3 linked regions of the Saccharomyces cerevisiae S288C genome follow. Changing the gene in region 3 together with the main gene of any one other region gives a genetic interaction. Each region holds a gene or a part of one and is shown on either strand. Other genes may lie near its edges.

What was found. A genetic interaction does not mean that the proteins touch.
Region 1: mutations in ELA1 (region 3) and YJL070C together harm fitness more than expected from each alone (negative genetic interaction), as found in Saccharomyces cerevisiae (2 studies listed by BioGRID).
Region 2: mutations in ELA1 (region 3) and ECM8 together harm fitness more than expected from each alone (negative genetic interaction), as found in Saccharomyces cerevisiae (2 studies listed by BioGRID).

Annotation. Positions count from the first base shown.
Region 1 is NC_001142.9:307,471-312,475, forward strand, and holds YJL070C (metallo-dependent hydrolase superfamily protein), read right to left. Parts: upstream 3,168-5,005; coding exon 501-3,167; downstream 1-500. Other genes in the region: ARG2 (acetyl-CoA:L-glutamate N-acetyltransferase), read left to right, coding at 1-386; UTP18 (Utp18p), read right to left, coding at 3,452-5,005.
Region 2 is NC_001134.8:388,082-391,791, reverse strand, and holds ECM8 (Ecm8p), read right to left. Parts: upstream 1,566-3,710; coding exon 501-1,565; downstream 1-500. Other genes in the region: PFF1 (Pff1p), read right to left, coding at 2,576-3,710. UniProt on the Saccharomyces cerevisiae protein: May be involved in cell wall organization and biogenesis.
Region 3 is NC_001146.8:212,724-220,530, forward strand, and holds ELA1 (elongin A), read right to left. Parts: upstream 5,940-7,807; coding exon 4,800-5,939; downstream 1-4,799. Other genes in the region: BNI4 (Bni4p), read left to right, coding at 1-1,877; exosome non-catalytic core subunit CSL4, read left to right, coding at 2,200-3,078; PDR16 (phosphatidylinositol transporter), read right to left, coding at 3,264-4,319; URE2 (glutathione peroxidase), read right to left, coding at 6,414-7,478.

The DNA.
Region 1 (5,005 bases), on a different chromosome or scaffold from region 3:
TTCTTACCTATGAAGGCTCGGAGGAAAATTCCTTTGTTTATCTCGATAAGTTCGCCGTTCTACCACACTTGAAAGGCTCGCTGGGTATATCTGATATAATCTTCAATTTGATGTTCAAAAAATTTCCTAATGAGATACTTTGGAGAAGCAGAAAAGACAATGTGGTGAACAAGTGGTATTTTCAACGTAGCGTTGCTGTGCTAGATTTGTCGATTGACTTAGACCCCGAACACTGTGATGAAAAGCAAAGCCAATTTAAACTATTTTACTACGGTAACCCTCAATACGCTAAGAGGGCACTACGTGACAAGAAACGTTTAAGAGAATTCATGAGGTCTGTCAGGGACATCAAGCCAAGTTGGGAAAATGAAAAAAATATTTCATGAAACAAAGACGCATTCTCCTCCTCCTTAACTTTCAAGTTTTCATTTTCAGTTTTTAAGGTATCTATATAAATATATATATCTTACTATGCAAAGTTGTTGATATTTCACTTTACCCTACCAAATGGAGTTAATTACTCCAAAGTGATCCCGAACGAAGTTCCACTCTTGATCCAATGTCTCCTTTCTATATCTTCTTCTAATCATCGGAACGTTGTGCTTTATCGAGGTATCTTTCGCTGTATCGTACCAATTATCTATCCCACCCACGTTCTCCTCAAAGTAAGGCGCCTTTTTAACTCCAACGCCAATCCAATGAGCCTTGTACCAACCTTCATAGCCACTAGATAGCACACTTGTTCTCGACAACTCGCACAAATCTGTTGGGTTCAGCAAGTAAATACTTGCTGCTACACTGTATTCTTCAATGAGAGGTTCTAGCGTGTATGAACTATTGTAAAGAATCGATTTTGATGATAAAGAAATTTTTAGTCCCATCTTAAACATTTTCATGAAAGGATTTGTCTCATATGATCTTTGTTCGCCCACAGTGATATCTCTAGAAGGATTGATTTTGGCTGTTTCCTGGTCTTTCAAATAATCATGTTCTAGAAGCACGTTTTTATTCTTCAAAAAGGTCGATTTTTGCGAATTCAGTAATGAAACAGATGATAATGGCGCAGCTAAAATGGGTATTTGAAAGAGATAAAATAAATATTGAATCATTGTTGCAGTATCCCAAAGCGGTTCTACCTGTAGCAGACCACCATTACAAAGCAGTAAGTTGCACACTAACGATTCAACTTGATCTGTAAAATATAAATCCACTCCAAATTGGGAAGTTCTGCTGGATAGTGGAGAACAATAATTTCTTAGGGTGATTGTATTTTGAAGATTTTGTGACCGCAGAAAATTAACTTTCGCTAAACTTTTATAAATATAATACATGTAATGCGCAACAGTTGGATTGTCACCCTGTGCTGTCCAAAATTTTGGCTTACAATTCATATCAGTAAATTCTTTCCAGTAATATTCATCCGACTCTTTAATGACCAGATCCATAGAACACACATTTGATAAAAAAAACTGCAGACCAATGATATCAGTATTTACAGATGAATCTATTGGTAACTGCTCCTTTTCCAGAGTGAATAAAGGATTGAAGATAAGATCCAAAAACTCCTGGAAATTTGACACGACATTTTCCTTGAATAGTTTGGGAAAAATCCTGGCAATTTGTATATTCCAGCGGATATTATACGATACTAGCTTCCATCGTAGCAACCATTGAGAAAATTTCTTGTACCAGTCTTCACCACTGGAATAGAATTGAAAATTAACTGATACTTGGGCCAATTGGTACTTTGATTTTTCGAGGATATGAATAACGTATTTTATGAAAATTTCTGCTAGGTACTCACCTTCAATGAAATTATCAAACTCCAGAAACACTTTGGCTAATAGGTAAAACCTCATTTCTTTGCCGACCAACTTTGCTACTTTGTTAGGAGTTAGATGGTAATCTATTAGGTAAATATTTCTATACCAATCCAAGAATTCATCATCAATCAATTTCAACCCAATCGCAATGGGTTGGTCATTAGAAGAACAACCAAACTGAAAAATGTCTCTCAAACTGAGTTTCCTTGACGTTTCCGGGTCTTGATAAACTATCCTTTCAGGTTCTAAATTTATTTTCTCCCATATATATTCACTCAATTGACGTTGAGAAATACAACCACTTAAAGACAAGTCTCGATCTACCTTACGAGAATTATAAAAATCTCTGTAGGGAACATTTTTATTAGCTAAAATTTCTTTCTTAGAGTTTAGGTACTGAAACAATTCAAATTTATCTAATAAATAAGATAATCGCTTTCGTGAAACCTCGTTGAATTTATGAGATTGGATTAACTCTATTATGTATGCAAAATCATCCCTAAATTCTTGAAACGTAGGCACATCTGTTAAAAATTCTTCCTCTAGTGACTCCTCCTTACTAGAATAAGGTGAAAGTGGGTTTTGCGTATTTTCCTGATTACTTAAATGGTAAATGTATTGTTTTTTGTAATCCTCTAAATCGAAATATTCACCGGTGTATGGTACTTTTATATTTCCTTTTCCTTTCAAACCAGATTTTGTGTAGTAGTAGTAGTGATCGGTAAAGTAACTTGGGTAATAGTAGCCATGGCGGTGCGGTGTAGCGGCTCCGGTCCCAGTACTGTCTCCATCGTCATTTAAGTCAGAGTCAGAGGGATCTTGGAATCGTTTATCGTCTTCAAATCTCCAAAACTTTGGCAGTGGTTTTGGGTATAAAAACCACTTTTCAGTGTCATTTTTTATGTTTGAAATGCCATCTTGTTTGGAAGCAGCAATGTATCTTTTTCTCATTTGAGAAACCAATTCAAACGGATTAATGAAAAGATCTTTAGTTTCTTCACCCGTTTTCAGATTTGAGGGCGTGTACGATGAGACAAAGCTGTCACTTTCTCCATTTCCATAATGATGGGAAACTGAAGGAAGTGGATCAATTTTGTTTTCTTCGTCTTCAAGATCGAAAAACATAGGTGAACCTAAAACCATTTGCCTGTCAAATTCCGTGGGCAAAGAAATCATATCCATATCATCGACTGATATTTCCTTCTGTTTCAAAACAGATGGGGAGACATCACCGTCATTCTCTGACAAGACCCTGGCTTCTTTATTCTTCGTCTCATTAGGCTTAGTAACAGAATTTTGATATTCGTCAAAGAGTAACGAGGGCCTTCTCTCTACCGCCTGCATAATTCCCAGCGAGATGAATAAGTAAAGTGAGATTTAGATAACTCTTACAGAGGATATTGAGAGGACATTTTAATCAAATTCTTTAAACTCAATGTCCCCTTTTTTTCCATATATTATATTTAATTTCTCGGACAATTTTTCATTTCTGACTATAAATGACAGCAAGAAAAAAGTGGGCAGAATCATATTCAATTTCAAGTTTCTTCGCAATTTTTTTACAGTGATATTTTGTGTATGTATTTGTACATTGCTTTTAATATCTAAGTTTGTCTATAAATGGAAATTTAGTAGTGGTTTAATTTCCAGAGCCTCACTTTACCTTGTTCGTTACCCACGGCCAGTAGCCCACCAGATGGCGAAAATGCGACACTGGTAACTTTACCCAAAGGCGTCCCGCTGGTAGGCCAGTTGCTGAACACGCTACAAGAAGGCAGATGAACTAGTCTCAAAGCATCCTTGACTGCACGGGATGCCATGCACAGTATTTGACCATCAGGGGAAAATTGTAGATTAGAAATGGTAGTTGTTAGCTGGTCCAAGGCGGCGACAGGTGTAGGGGTCGACGAGGTCATAGCATTATTTCTATCGTAAAGATTAACAAATCCACTCTCACTACCTACCGCAAGCCACCTATTTTGCTTTATCTTACTTATTTGAAGAGCCGGACAAGTAGTTGTTGTCCCACCACCAACTTGGATTTTTGTTATACCCACGCCACCTTGGTCTTTCCATCTTCTTATAACATGGCCATTCTTATTCAAGTCAAATTCCCACACTTCACCATACGCGTTTACAGCAATTAAAATGGTCCTAAACTTACCACGTGAAATAGGTTGATAATCGATACAGAAATCCGTTATCACACCTTCTATCTTGCAGCCCATTAACCATAGTCCGGAAGTGGAATGTAAAATGTTAATCCAACCATTATTACCCTGTAAAAGGACAATTCCATGGACAGAATTTGTTTGTGAATTCTGCAAATGTGCAACTTTGAAATTCTCAAATGATCTTTGAGTGGACTCATGTCCATACAATCTGGAAAATTTTTCGATTTTGGCAGTCTGTGAATGAGTTAAATTTTCTAAGGATAAGTCCCAGGAATGCATATATCTTCTTCTACCGGCGGTGAATATATTTTGTTGATTTTGGTTTGATAGAGAAGTATAGAAAGTACATGTTTGTATTGGAGACCCAACCAGGTGCAAACTTGTCACTAGATGGTTCGTTTTCCCGTCAATATGATATATTCTTAAGGTCTTATCATACCCACCCGTTAACAGTAGAGGCTTAGAAGGATGGAATGAAAGAGATTGTATGGCGGAATGAGACGGGTGTGATGCATTTGCATCTTTAAGACGCACAATGTCAAGTTTCTTAGGGGGTAATAGTTTGGAATTCGATAAAGTGTCTTTATAATTGTAAGTAGTAGACAGGATCTTCGTTAGAGCATTAATATCTCCATTAATAACATTATTAGAGCCTTCTTCTTCATCGTCTTCTTCGTCATCTAATTCAGAATCAGATTCATCGTCCACCCATTTGGGCCTTGGATATATCTTTTCAAACTGAGATCTCAATCTGTTGATGTAATGAACACCGTTGATTTTGGACTCGTTATAGGAGGTTCTTAATTTCTTTGTCTTATTGGTAACAAGAATAGGCACTTTAATTTTTTCATCATCCGAATCTATCCAAGCAGCTTCTTCAGAGTCCTCAGAATAATCATCGCTTGAAGAGTCATCTTCGTCATCCACGTCCATGGTATCTTCATTCTTATCTTGACTATCTTCGTTACCACCATCGTCCACAAAAAATAACTGATCGTTGTTAACATG
Region 2 (3,710 bases), on a different chromosome or scaffold from region 3:
ATGTATCGAGGCCACACCTTTTCATGCGTCTCCGGATGGGGGCTGGAAAAAACAATGCGAACAGTCTATAAATAAACACATTTTCGCAGGGACAGAGTTTACGCAGACACGCCATTTACATAAGCTTGATTACGCGGATTGCCGTGGTGCACTTTCGTGCACTCGCACATATATATGCACGTACATAAGGGCCTCATCTTCCTCTCCTTTTTTTCCCCCATCTACCTATCGCTGTTATTGAACGGAAGCATCTTCTTTTTTTATTATGCTCAGAGGGCCCTACATGACAGCTTTTTTTTCCCCAATGAGCTGCTACGGTGCCAGATCTGCTTATGTTCATTATTTTGGATGGTAACCGTTATAAATTTAAAGCGTTTCTTCGCTAGGATGGTGAATATTAGTATTTATCAGCCGTCTCGTAATCGTTTAGTTCGTTACTAGCGGCAAATTTTGTTTGATTTGTTATATGATCATTTATTTTTAATATCTTGCGTACACAATCAATTGCTTTTTGTTATAACTTGGACATATAAACATTTCGTTCGGAACGTGGCTAAGTCGCATTGGATGTAGTGTGTAAAATAATTCTCGTATATACCTTCAATGTCTTCTCTATTGCGTGTTTGAATATACGACATCCCATTATAATCAGCATTGAGGTTTCTTAGAGACTCGAAATCCTGAAAGGAATCCCTAATGATTTCATCGTATTCACACCAACCCAAACGGATCCAATTTTCGCAGTGGGGGCATTTCACATGGATTCTCCTAAATCCCCCGTTCAACGTTTGAGTGTAGTAGGCCAAAGGAGAGGGAATGATGGATACAGTAAGAGAGTTCAAAATTTTTTTGCTAAACTCTGGCTCTTTTAATACTTGAATTTTGAAATTAAGTTTTCCCTGGATTTTTAACAGCTTAGACTCGAAATGGTATAAAGTGTGAGGCTTAAATTCAGACAAAATGCCGTGCGCAAAGAATAAATGTTTTAGGTAGTTTTCAGCTAGAATCCAATTATTCCCCTGGCAAAATCTGCACATCAATTCCTTTTTCTTTTCAGAGTATCGCATGTATTTATACATTATCAGAGAATCCAGACTGTTGGGGTTTGACTCTTCGGTATTGGATCTACTAGTATTGTATAGTGCCTGTACACATGCTGAGGGGGGACAATTTTGATTTCTTTTTATTTTATAACCAAATTCGGAGTATCTGTCTTTCATCCAGCCTCGGATACTGTGATGTTGGAAACACCTTGGAAGAAAAATCAGTTGCTTAGAAATACTTTTAAACACATGCTTACAATCAGTGTTGGCTTTACCAAAGTCAAAATTTTCGCTATCGTTGAATATTTTCCTTTGTGGGAATATTTTGTTCTTGATGGTTTTTCTTTTGAGTGATCCACTATTATTGGATACATTCGTGGTGTCCGTTAAAACCCTCGAAAGAGTGGATGTTGAAGAGTCAGGTCTTTTAGACTGTGTAAATTCAGCATTACTGTCTATCCAAAAATCCACACCATTTGTTTCTTCAATACGTTGTGCGGGAAAAAAGTAGCCATAGTCCATCTTAAGGCTTTTAAATAGCTAATATTAAATACTGTTAGGATAGCAAGAGTGGGTGATTTATTCGTTAGAAATATACGAGTCAATAAAGTCTAGTACCGAATTAATGTATTAGCGAACAAATTCTTGTGGTTTTTTATGAAATCATCACTACTTCAATGTGTTAAGGTGTATTTTCGAAACATTTTTCGGCGCTGCCAGTAAGACGTACGACCCTTTTTTTAGTGTCAGTAACTATAAAATTATGACGTCCGAGAATAGCGTAGAAATTAAAAAGGGTAACAATGATATCTAGCAGCTTTCAAAAAAGGGAAGGGCGGCACAGAACCTTACATTGGACAATGCTTTGCCTTCACTTATACGATATTTTGCATTTTTTTGCTATCAAGATTTGGTTAATACTGTATCGTGTAAATTGAGATCCCACCTCCAAAACTTGCTTTTGGACAAAGCGATATATTAAAATAACTTAAATATCCGCTTAACCAAGCTCTTGATCCAAACGATATCCGGCTATAGTCAATCACAATCCCTGAAGAACCATTTCCAAGACCATTATCTTTATACTTAATAAATATATAGATTTACAGGTTATTTGTATATCGCTAGCATTATTGCGTGCTATTTTCTAATAGTTACTGGAGGGTTATATAATTTAGGACTTTATAAAAACGAGCATTGTATGCACTTGCAGCAGTGTAGAACTTATCTGACGAAACATGTTTCTTACTTTGTTAACTGATATCATTAGTGATTTTCAATACCGTCTGAATATCCACTATAGCTGTCTTTAGCGCTACGAAGAGAGCACCGTAGAATGGTTCCAGACGGATTCTTGGCCAGTAAAGTACATTCATAAGTTAAACTCAATAGTTTTTCCTTTTGTTACGAAAAATTTCTCAAAATATTTTTTATTATTTTGTTCTTCTTGTGGGAAGAAGCGAAGCCTTTGGACAACTCCCCCAGTAGGCGAATTTGAGTTTATAAAAATTTACATTTAAAACTAATTAGAATTATAAAATTATAGCATCCTTGACAATAACTAATCCTTTCTGTTCGTTGGTAAAGGAAAAACTTAGAGGTGCGTAATTTATCAATTCATCAAATGCTGGAATTTTCCTAACAGCGGTACCATTTACAACCGATTCCGAATCATATTCTCCCCAATAACAGCTAATAGAAACAGACAGTTCGTCTTTTGTCCCCAACTTGTCATCCTCTACATTTCCATCCGTCAAAAGTTTTGGAAACCACTGGACTCCGATATGGTAAGTTTCCTGATCGAAATCAAGTTTATGCAATTGCAGTTCGTTTATGCCAGAAGCAGACTTGATCGTCTTCGTGATATTAGCTTTCTGTGGGGCCGAATTTTTCTTTTGATATACCGTGATTTCTCTGACAGGTGACTTCGCCTGATGTCTACTTTCAAAAGTTAAAGTGCAAGCCCTGTTCTCCTTCACCTCCAAAAGTAACTCTGCAACTATTGGTTCGTAAGGAGATCTCTCTGTTGAGTTTCGGTTATTATGTAAAACATGAACCTTGACCATACTGCTGATGTTCGTATTTCCATTCGTGCTCAATAAATTAGGTTGCATTCCATCATACATACAAAGTTCCATTCCATTGGTTACGGAAGTACAGTTAATATGTGTAGAGCTATATTTTATACTTGGTAAATCTTGCAGCATAGGTTTTAAAAAATTTCCTTCTCTTCCAAGGACATGTACACTGGCAGCGTTCCCTTGAGACAAATCAATATTTTGAGAAAACCTTACTTTTAATGGGTTACTATTGGTAAAGGGGTGCACTAGGAGCGTTTTGGATGCGGAAATCAAGAAAAGCAGTGCAGTTAAAGAAATTGTGATATAGTTGACCTTATAGAAAAAAGGTAAAATTGGTAGCGCGATCAAAATACTGCCCACCATTCCGAACCTGAGTACATCAAATGTAGCCTTACTTCCTTCCTGGACAGTATGGTTTAGTGCGTCCATGATAACATCCACACTGTTAAACAAAATAAATGATGGTATTGGTACAATTAGCAAAAATTGAATGATCCAGGCATAATCGGTATACTCAAGTTTTAGAGAATTTTCTCTAGTACTCAATCCTTCCTCCATGCTATTAGACCCCTTCAGTAATGGTACC
Region 3 (7,807 bases):
ATACTGATTCTTCTGCCCAAAGGACTACTTCAGCAGGCTCGGTACTTGAAGACACTTCTATGCATAAAAAGAAAAAGAGTATATTTTCATTTCTGAAGAAGAAAGAACCGAAACCAGTTATTGGTAATAATAGTGTAACGAATGAAAAAAATAAGATGTCTTCATCGAGCACTTTCTCAATGAATATTCAAACCTCTTTAAAAACGCCTGAAAAACTAAAGAAGAAGTCTCACAGTAGCAGTAGCATTTTCAATTCCTTCCTAAAGGGAAAAATTGAAACATCAGACTCACCTCGAAAGGAACCAATGAGGCAAAAAAAAAGAACCCCAAAATCCAAGGACAAAAAGCAAGATACTGAACAAATAATTGACGCCGCATCAGTGTTATCCACTGAATCACCTCTACTACGAAAAAACCACGACGATACTCCCGTGAAAATAGATCACGTAACGAGATCAATTGATCAGAGAAAACCTACTCCTTTAAACATGGATCTCATATTGGGAGGTGATAAACAGATAAATACCCCGCTACAAGAACACGTAAGAGAAGATGATGATGCCAAAAATGATCTTCAATTACCAACCAAGGATAATTTTTTATCACTGGACTACGAAGCACCCTCACCAGCATTTTCCAAACACGATACAGGTGAGGTTCTTTTCCCAAAATTTTTGGATAATCATGAAGTCGACTCGATCGTTTCTTTAGAAAGAACAAGATCTACAAAGTCTAACAAGAGAAGTTCAATGAACTCGCAAAGAAGGTCATTGACAGATACGCTATCGATCAAAGCGCAAAGTGAGGGAATGTTCATCACTGAGGCATCTTCTGTTGTATTATCTACTCCAGACTTGACGAAGTCTCCTGCTAGCAGCATTTTAAAGAATGGAAGGTTCGAATACTCAGATAATTTCTCCAGAGAACACTCTTACGAAGGTACCACGAATGAGGACTTTTTAGATATCAAGGACGATAGTGGTCCACTAAAAAAAGATGACATATTTTTAGAGTCTATTGAACAAAAATTTGACCAGCTAGTGATGGCCTCTGATGAAGAAAAAACTGAAGTTGAAAGGGATGTACCAAAACCAAGAGAAGAACCTCTGAAGAAGGATTCTGAAAGGCAAAGCGTTTTTGCAGATGATGATAACGAGTTAATTTCTGATATAATGGAGTTTGCAAGTTTTATTAACTTCGGTGATGATGATCTCAATCTAGACCTAGACTTGGGAGATACAACGGCCTCATATGCAACAGAAACCCCTGAACCTGTTGGAAATGATGAAGTAAATCGCTCTGGTACTTTTGATACACGAAATAACAAAGAGGATAGTTACAAAGAAAGAGAAACTCAATCTTATTCCGCTGCTGGAGCTACTACATACGGAGATGAGCGTCAAGGTCAATTACATACATTTGAACAAGACGGAAGTGAAATAAATGACAACGAATTTGAGAATGAAGATTTCAACAAACACATAGAACAGCCCATAGAAGTTACTCCAAGAAATAATGCATATTTACCAGAATTCGAACCCAATAGACCTGTTTCAATGTCCTTTAAAGGACTAAAAGCCCCAAGAATGAATACTTCTTTTATTGACTCCATGACGCCTGATTCTCCCGTAAAATCAGACTTAACAAGTCTAGGTGAGGTGTATGTAAACAGTAATAATGACCAGGGTGTCCGGTTTTCGTCCCAGATAATACTTTACGACACTTATGGAGAATTCGAATATGATAGACATCCAGAAATTTCCACTTGTAACCAGCTTACTCCACAACTGGCTCAAATGATCAAATTGGAATTAAATGAGTTAAAGAGCGCAATGGAAGTACACGATGATTCGCGATGTTACACACATTTTTATTAGAGCAGAAAACTGGGAGAAATGGAAATGAATCAAATCATACATATCAAGACATTCTAGTTTTTATAAACCTATAATTTATCGCAAGAATCTTGGGTGTTATGTGTTGTATTTGCGGCATCATTTCAAAATACCGTCTGCATTACCCGTCTCCGTCACGTGAAGTAAAAATTTCCAAAAAATATTGAAAAAAGAAAGAAAAATAAGATCCAGAATTCACTGATGATGAGCTTATGGTACGGCATGATTAACTACGCATTTGTATATTAAAGATTCTTTGATTTTTTCCAGAGCATTGAATACCTCAATCTATAAGTGTATTATAATGGCATGCAATTTTCAGTTTCCAGAAATAGCTTATCCAGGTAAACTAATATGCCCACAGTACGGTACGGAAAATAAAGATGGCGAAGATATAATTTTCAATTATGTGCCCGGTCCCGGAACTAAACTAATTCAATATGAACACAACGGACGAACTTTAGAAGCTATAACTGCTACACTAGTTGGGACAGTGAGGTGTGAGGAAGAAAAAAAAACTGATCAGGAAGAAGAGCGTGAAGGCACTGATCAATCTACAGAGGAAGAAAAATCAGTAGATGCATCACCTAATGATGTCACAAGAAGAACTGTAAAAAATATTCTGGTTTCAGTGCTTCCTGGGACAGAAAAGGGTCGTAAAACCAACAAATATGCTAATAATGATTTTGCCAATAACCTACCGAAGGAAGGTGATATTGTGCTGACCAGGGTGACAAGGCTTTCGTTGCAACGAGCCAATGTCGAAATTTTAGCTGTGGAAGATAAACCATCTCCAATTGATAGTGGCATCGGCAGTAATGGATCGGGAATAGTCGCTGCTGGTGGCGGTTCTGGAGCAGCTACGTTCTCTGTTTCTCAAGCATCATCAGATTTAGGTGAGACATTCAGAGGTATAATCAGGTCTCAGGATGTACGGTCTACAGACAGAGATCGTGTGAAAGTGATAGAATGTTTCAAGCCGGGAGATATTGTTAGGGCGCAAGTTTTATCATTAGGTGACGGAACCAACTACTATTTGACCACTGCAAGGAATGACCTTGGGGTCGTGTTCGCCAGAGCTGCTAATGGTGCTGGTGGATTGATGTATGCTACAGACTGGCAAATGATGACTTCACCGGTTACAGGCGCTACAGAAAAGCGCAAATGTGCCAAACCTTTTTGATATGTAACAGCTTATCTACAGTGCATATAGACGCGTATATATTTAAAAGAGGGTATTCGCTTCTTCTTCTTTAGATTGCATTCTTTGATGGTTAGGAAAAAGAAGCGGGAACGTGATTAAACTTTTTATTCTCTTTTATTTATTATATATTATAGTGCATTATCATTATCTATCTAAATTTGCCTTTACACGGTACTGCTTTCCGATTTTACTGGGTAAAGAAGTTTTTCATGAGTACCTCTTAAATCAACCTCACTTAAACCTACAATACCACCGAAGCTTTGAAACCTCTTAAAATAATGATCTCTTTTTTCACGCGCGGTTTCCACCAGAGCTGGCCAATAAACATCATGATTGTACTTGAATTTCAGATCACCACCATACAACGAATCTAGTTCGTTCTTAGGGACATATTTAACAAATGGTTCATCAAAAACTAGCTTTTCACGGGTCAGTGGGTCAATAAAAGGGTGAATTAACTTCAAGAAAGTCCATGCTAACCAAGGAATATTCGTCAAAAGTGCTTTTCCTAGTCTTTCTGGATAATGAGTTTGTAGAATATGCAGCACTTCTTTCCCTACACCAATAGGTGGGATTTTACTATTGCCAGGTACTTTAGGAACATCAGGGTAATCTTTAAAGTCTATTAGCAAAGCTAGAGAGTCTTGACCAGCTGGCATAAAATCGATAACTCTTTCCAACATGAAGACCAAGTGCTGTACCTGTCTGTGAGAAGTCTTTGTATTTTGTCTGCCCGGTTTCAAATATAAGATAGGTCTAGCATCGTTTTCGTAACCCAAAATCACCTGCTTACCTGATTCGTTCTCGACGGCCACCAAGTCAGCAGTTATTTTATCACCATGCTCTTCACCTAAATGACTAATACCGAATTCTCTTCTCCACGCTAGAGTCATGGTGATTCTATCGATACAGTCTTTTAGCACCCATTTAGTAGCCCTTAGGTAACGTAAAAAACATTCTCTTGTCAACCATGCCTTTTCTTCTTCCTCTAAGGGTTTAAGATCATCCTCCGACTTATTTTTTTCACTTGTATAAACCTTCAAGTCAGGGTTACTGAAATGTTTTAGCACTTCGTCATACATTTTTTGTTGCTCACCTGTAAGTGGTTTTTCTTTTGGAATAGCTATCGAAGCAGGAAGTTCTTTGATAGGCTTATCAATATTAATCAAATTTTTTGGGTCTTCTGGAGCCTCCTTCTTTTTGCTAAATCTCTTGAACATTTTTTGCTTTTGTAATTTTTTTTATATAAAGTGGTTTTGTATTATTTGTTGGATGGAGAGAAGGGAACAGTTAGAAACAAAATAAGGATTGAAATATTTTTCTAACGAAGAAGTGGTATTAGTCTATCTAGAACTGATATATATACATACATATATATATATAAATATATATATATTCAGACAATGAGCACAATATTGTGCATGTACAAGAGTGGGATGCGCATATAGTGCATGAACCTATTGCGATAAAGATCTGGCAATATATAGAGAGATATATCGCATGCTTGCACTCAAATAGAGTCGGGTGGAATGAAAAAAATCATAAAAATTACTAAGACGGAAGACAAAAAGATGACGCGCAACGCGAAAATCGCTTATAAGCAGGGATGCCGTTGCTTCCGGTTGCTTTCTTTCTCCGCGGAATGACTGGACCCGTGGGAAATCGCAGGGGATGTGACGGCCTTCGGAGTTGGGTTACTGCTATTTCCGTGGCTCATAGATATACGGACGGGTAGTAGGGCCGGTTGCGGTCACGTGCGGAAAACTATCTCCGTCAGATCCGGCATTTCGTACGAAAATTCCGGATTTCTTCTTCTTGTGGCCCTTTGTTACGGGATTTGCGGTGACACTTGATATTGAAGTTACAACATCTTTGTGGGGATAAGGATGAGAAGTAGTACGGTGATCGTTGGTGATCGCTGTTGTATGGGGTCGAGAACCTGCAGCGTTTGTCTTCGGAGTAGGCCTGAATAGCGCAGGTTTTTTACGATTGAGAAAGATTGACGGTGATTCGGATCTTCTCTTCTTCACCGGCGTGATGGGCTGCGTAACATCTTTCTTCTCTGCTGTGACATTATCCATTTGACGATTTACCTTAACAGGCTCCGGTTTGATGGACAATGGGCCTTTCTTGGGGGAAGACGATTGTCCGCCCGCTTGGCCACCAAAGGCCACACGTTGCGCATGCCTTTTTGCAATGTTGAATCCGCCGTCTTTGAAATGCTTTAGTCTGGACTCGTGATCTTTCAACGATTTCATGTATAATTGCGAATGGGGTTCGTTGTGCAACCTTGTAGTCTTCTTGGTGTTTCTCTTTTTGAAGTAAACAGTGTGGTCAACCACTATGGTTTGCTTTTTTTCTCTTTCTTGCTGCAACTTCTGCATTTCCAGCCTTAATCTCTCTGCGCTTTCCTCTTGTTTCTTTTCCACTTCTTGTTGGTACTTTGAGTATAACATTCTGTATGGTATTCGGTACTTGTTGTTTCGGATGTCTTTGACGACTGATTGACGCACGCAAGACTTCAATAAATCCTGATTCGAATGGTACAGTTCTATATCGTTTTCCTTAACGAAATCAAAGTAATATTTGCAAATAATGTCTCTCTTAGAGACAAATTGTTCGTGTACATTAGTCGGGAAATCTTGCCTTAAAAATTCTAACCATAGTTCATCATCGTCAAATATCAATAGTACGTTGCTTTTCTCAAGTTTTAATAGTTGTGGTATTTTTACTTTCTGCAGTATCCTCTTTAATAAGTGATAGGGGACATTACTCACAGATTGTATGTTTGAATGATTTCTCATCAATGAGATTTCACATAGTGTTTGTAAACTTTTCATATCTCGACATCAATCGATTTATACATTCACTAGAACGTATTTCCATGAACAAAAACCGTTTGCATGTAAGTTACATATGTATCTAATCGTCATAACTGAACAAATCCCTTCTTCGCAAATATTAAATATTTGAAATTTTCTATTGTGATCTTTCTTAAGCCCATCGTGGCAAATGCCGAGAAAAATACGCAATTGTACCAGCTTTATTGAAAGCGCCAGATATACAGTGACAACACCCCGAATATAGTTGAGAAATTTATAGTATTTCAATTATTACATAAAACAAAATTTTGGAATTCTGTGGTTGGGGTAACAAAGAATAAATAGAAGCAACAGAAATTTCAAAACTATTATATACTTCTATGACATTTTTGTTTATATTTGCACTTAATTTTCCTTTTTGTCTGCCTATATACATACCCTTATAACCTTCTTTTCCTCCTTCTTCTTTCTTTCTTGTTTTTAAAGCAGCCTTCATTCACCACGCAATGCCTTGATGACCGCGGGTCTTCTCATCATATGCTTCGTCCATTTGTAAACTTCTGGAAATTCAATTTTGATATTAATGCCAATTCTATCCACGACATTATTCCATGGGACAAAGGCCAAATCTGCTATAGTTAATTTATCTCCTACAAGCCATACGGGATAATCAAAGAAACGACTTTGTGACATTGGTGTTGTACCAGCTGAGTATGCAGCCGCATTTTCCGTGTCTAATTCCATCACCAGCGCTTCTCTACGTTCAGCCAAGGCCATCTCCACTACACCGTAAACTCTTCTAACCTCATCCGTATATCTTTCTACAGCACTTGCTATCTTTTGTGAATGGAAGTATCTGAAATGTAAAGCTTGTCCAATCATTGGCGCATGCCCTGACGTTTGGAAGAACAACCATGCGTTGATTTGTGATTGGTCAGCTAAATCATCGGACCAGAGTAATGGATTACCAGTCTCTTTGTAATATTTATTTACCAAATGTAATAAAATCGCCCCTGATTCCCAAATAGACAAGTTGTCCATACCATGATCGATTAAAGCTGGAACTCTTGCATTAGGGTTCACAGACACAAATTCGGGGGCCCTATGTTCGCCAAGATTGAAATCTAGGAAGATTGTGTTATAATGAAATCCAAGTTCACTTAGTACTATAGCAACTTTGAATCCATTAGGCGCAGACCTGTGAGAGAAAAGGGTATATCCCTCCAGTGGTTGTTCTTGAAAAAATTTTGTAATTCTGGAATACTCCACGTGACTCATATCCGAAAATGCCTGTTGTTGTTGTCGATGTTGTTCTAAGGTATTCTTGATATTATTCTCGTTATCATTATTTTGGCTACCATTGCGGCCGCTGTTATTGTTTTGAACATTATTGTTATTACTACTGCTATTGTTATTATTATTATTATTTACACCTGTTGAAAATTCAAAATTTATATTACTTTGATCGGTGGTTGTATTACTGTTCCTGTTTCCTATGTTTACTTGACGGAGCGCATTGGAGAGATTCGACACTTGGTTGCCGTTGTTATTCATCATTTGGTGTACAACTTAATTTGCAGCTTAAAACAATATGACTAATAACAAAAAATGAAAAACTAAAAATAAAGAAGTTCGTACGGGGGATCTTTATTCCTCTTCGATTCAATTCAGTGCTATAAACAATTCCAAATGAGCTGTTTGAAAAGGAAAGATTTTTGCTATTCTTTTCAACCTCGAGTAAGGAAGCTTTCGTCTTTGTATAGTTGCTTTTCTGGCCTAGTAGAAAGGAAAACTACATGCTGAAGCCACTCTTCCTCAAAAATTCAATAGTGGCAGCTCATCAATCCTCCTATTCGGCGAGAATTGAAAAAAAAATTCCAGGCTGC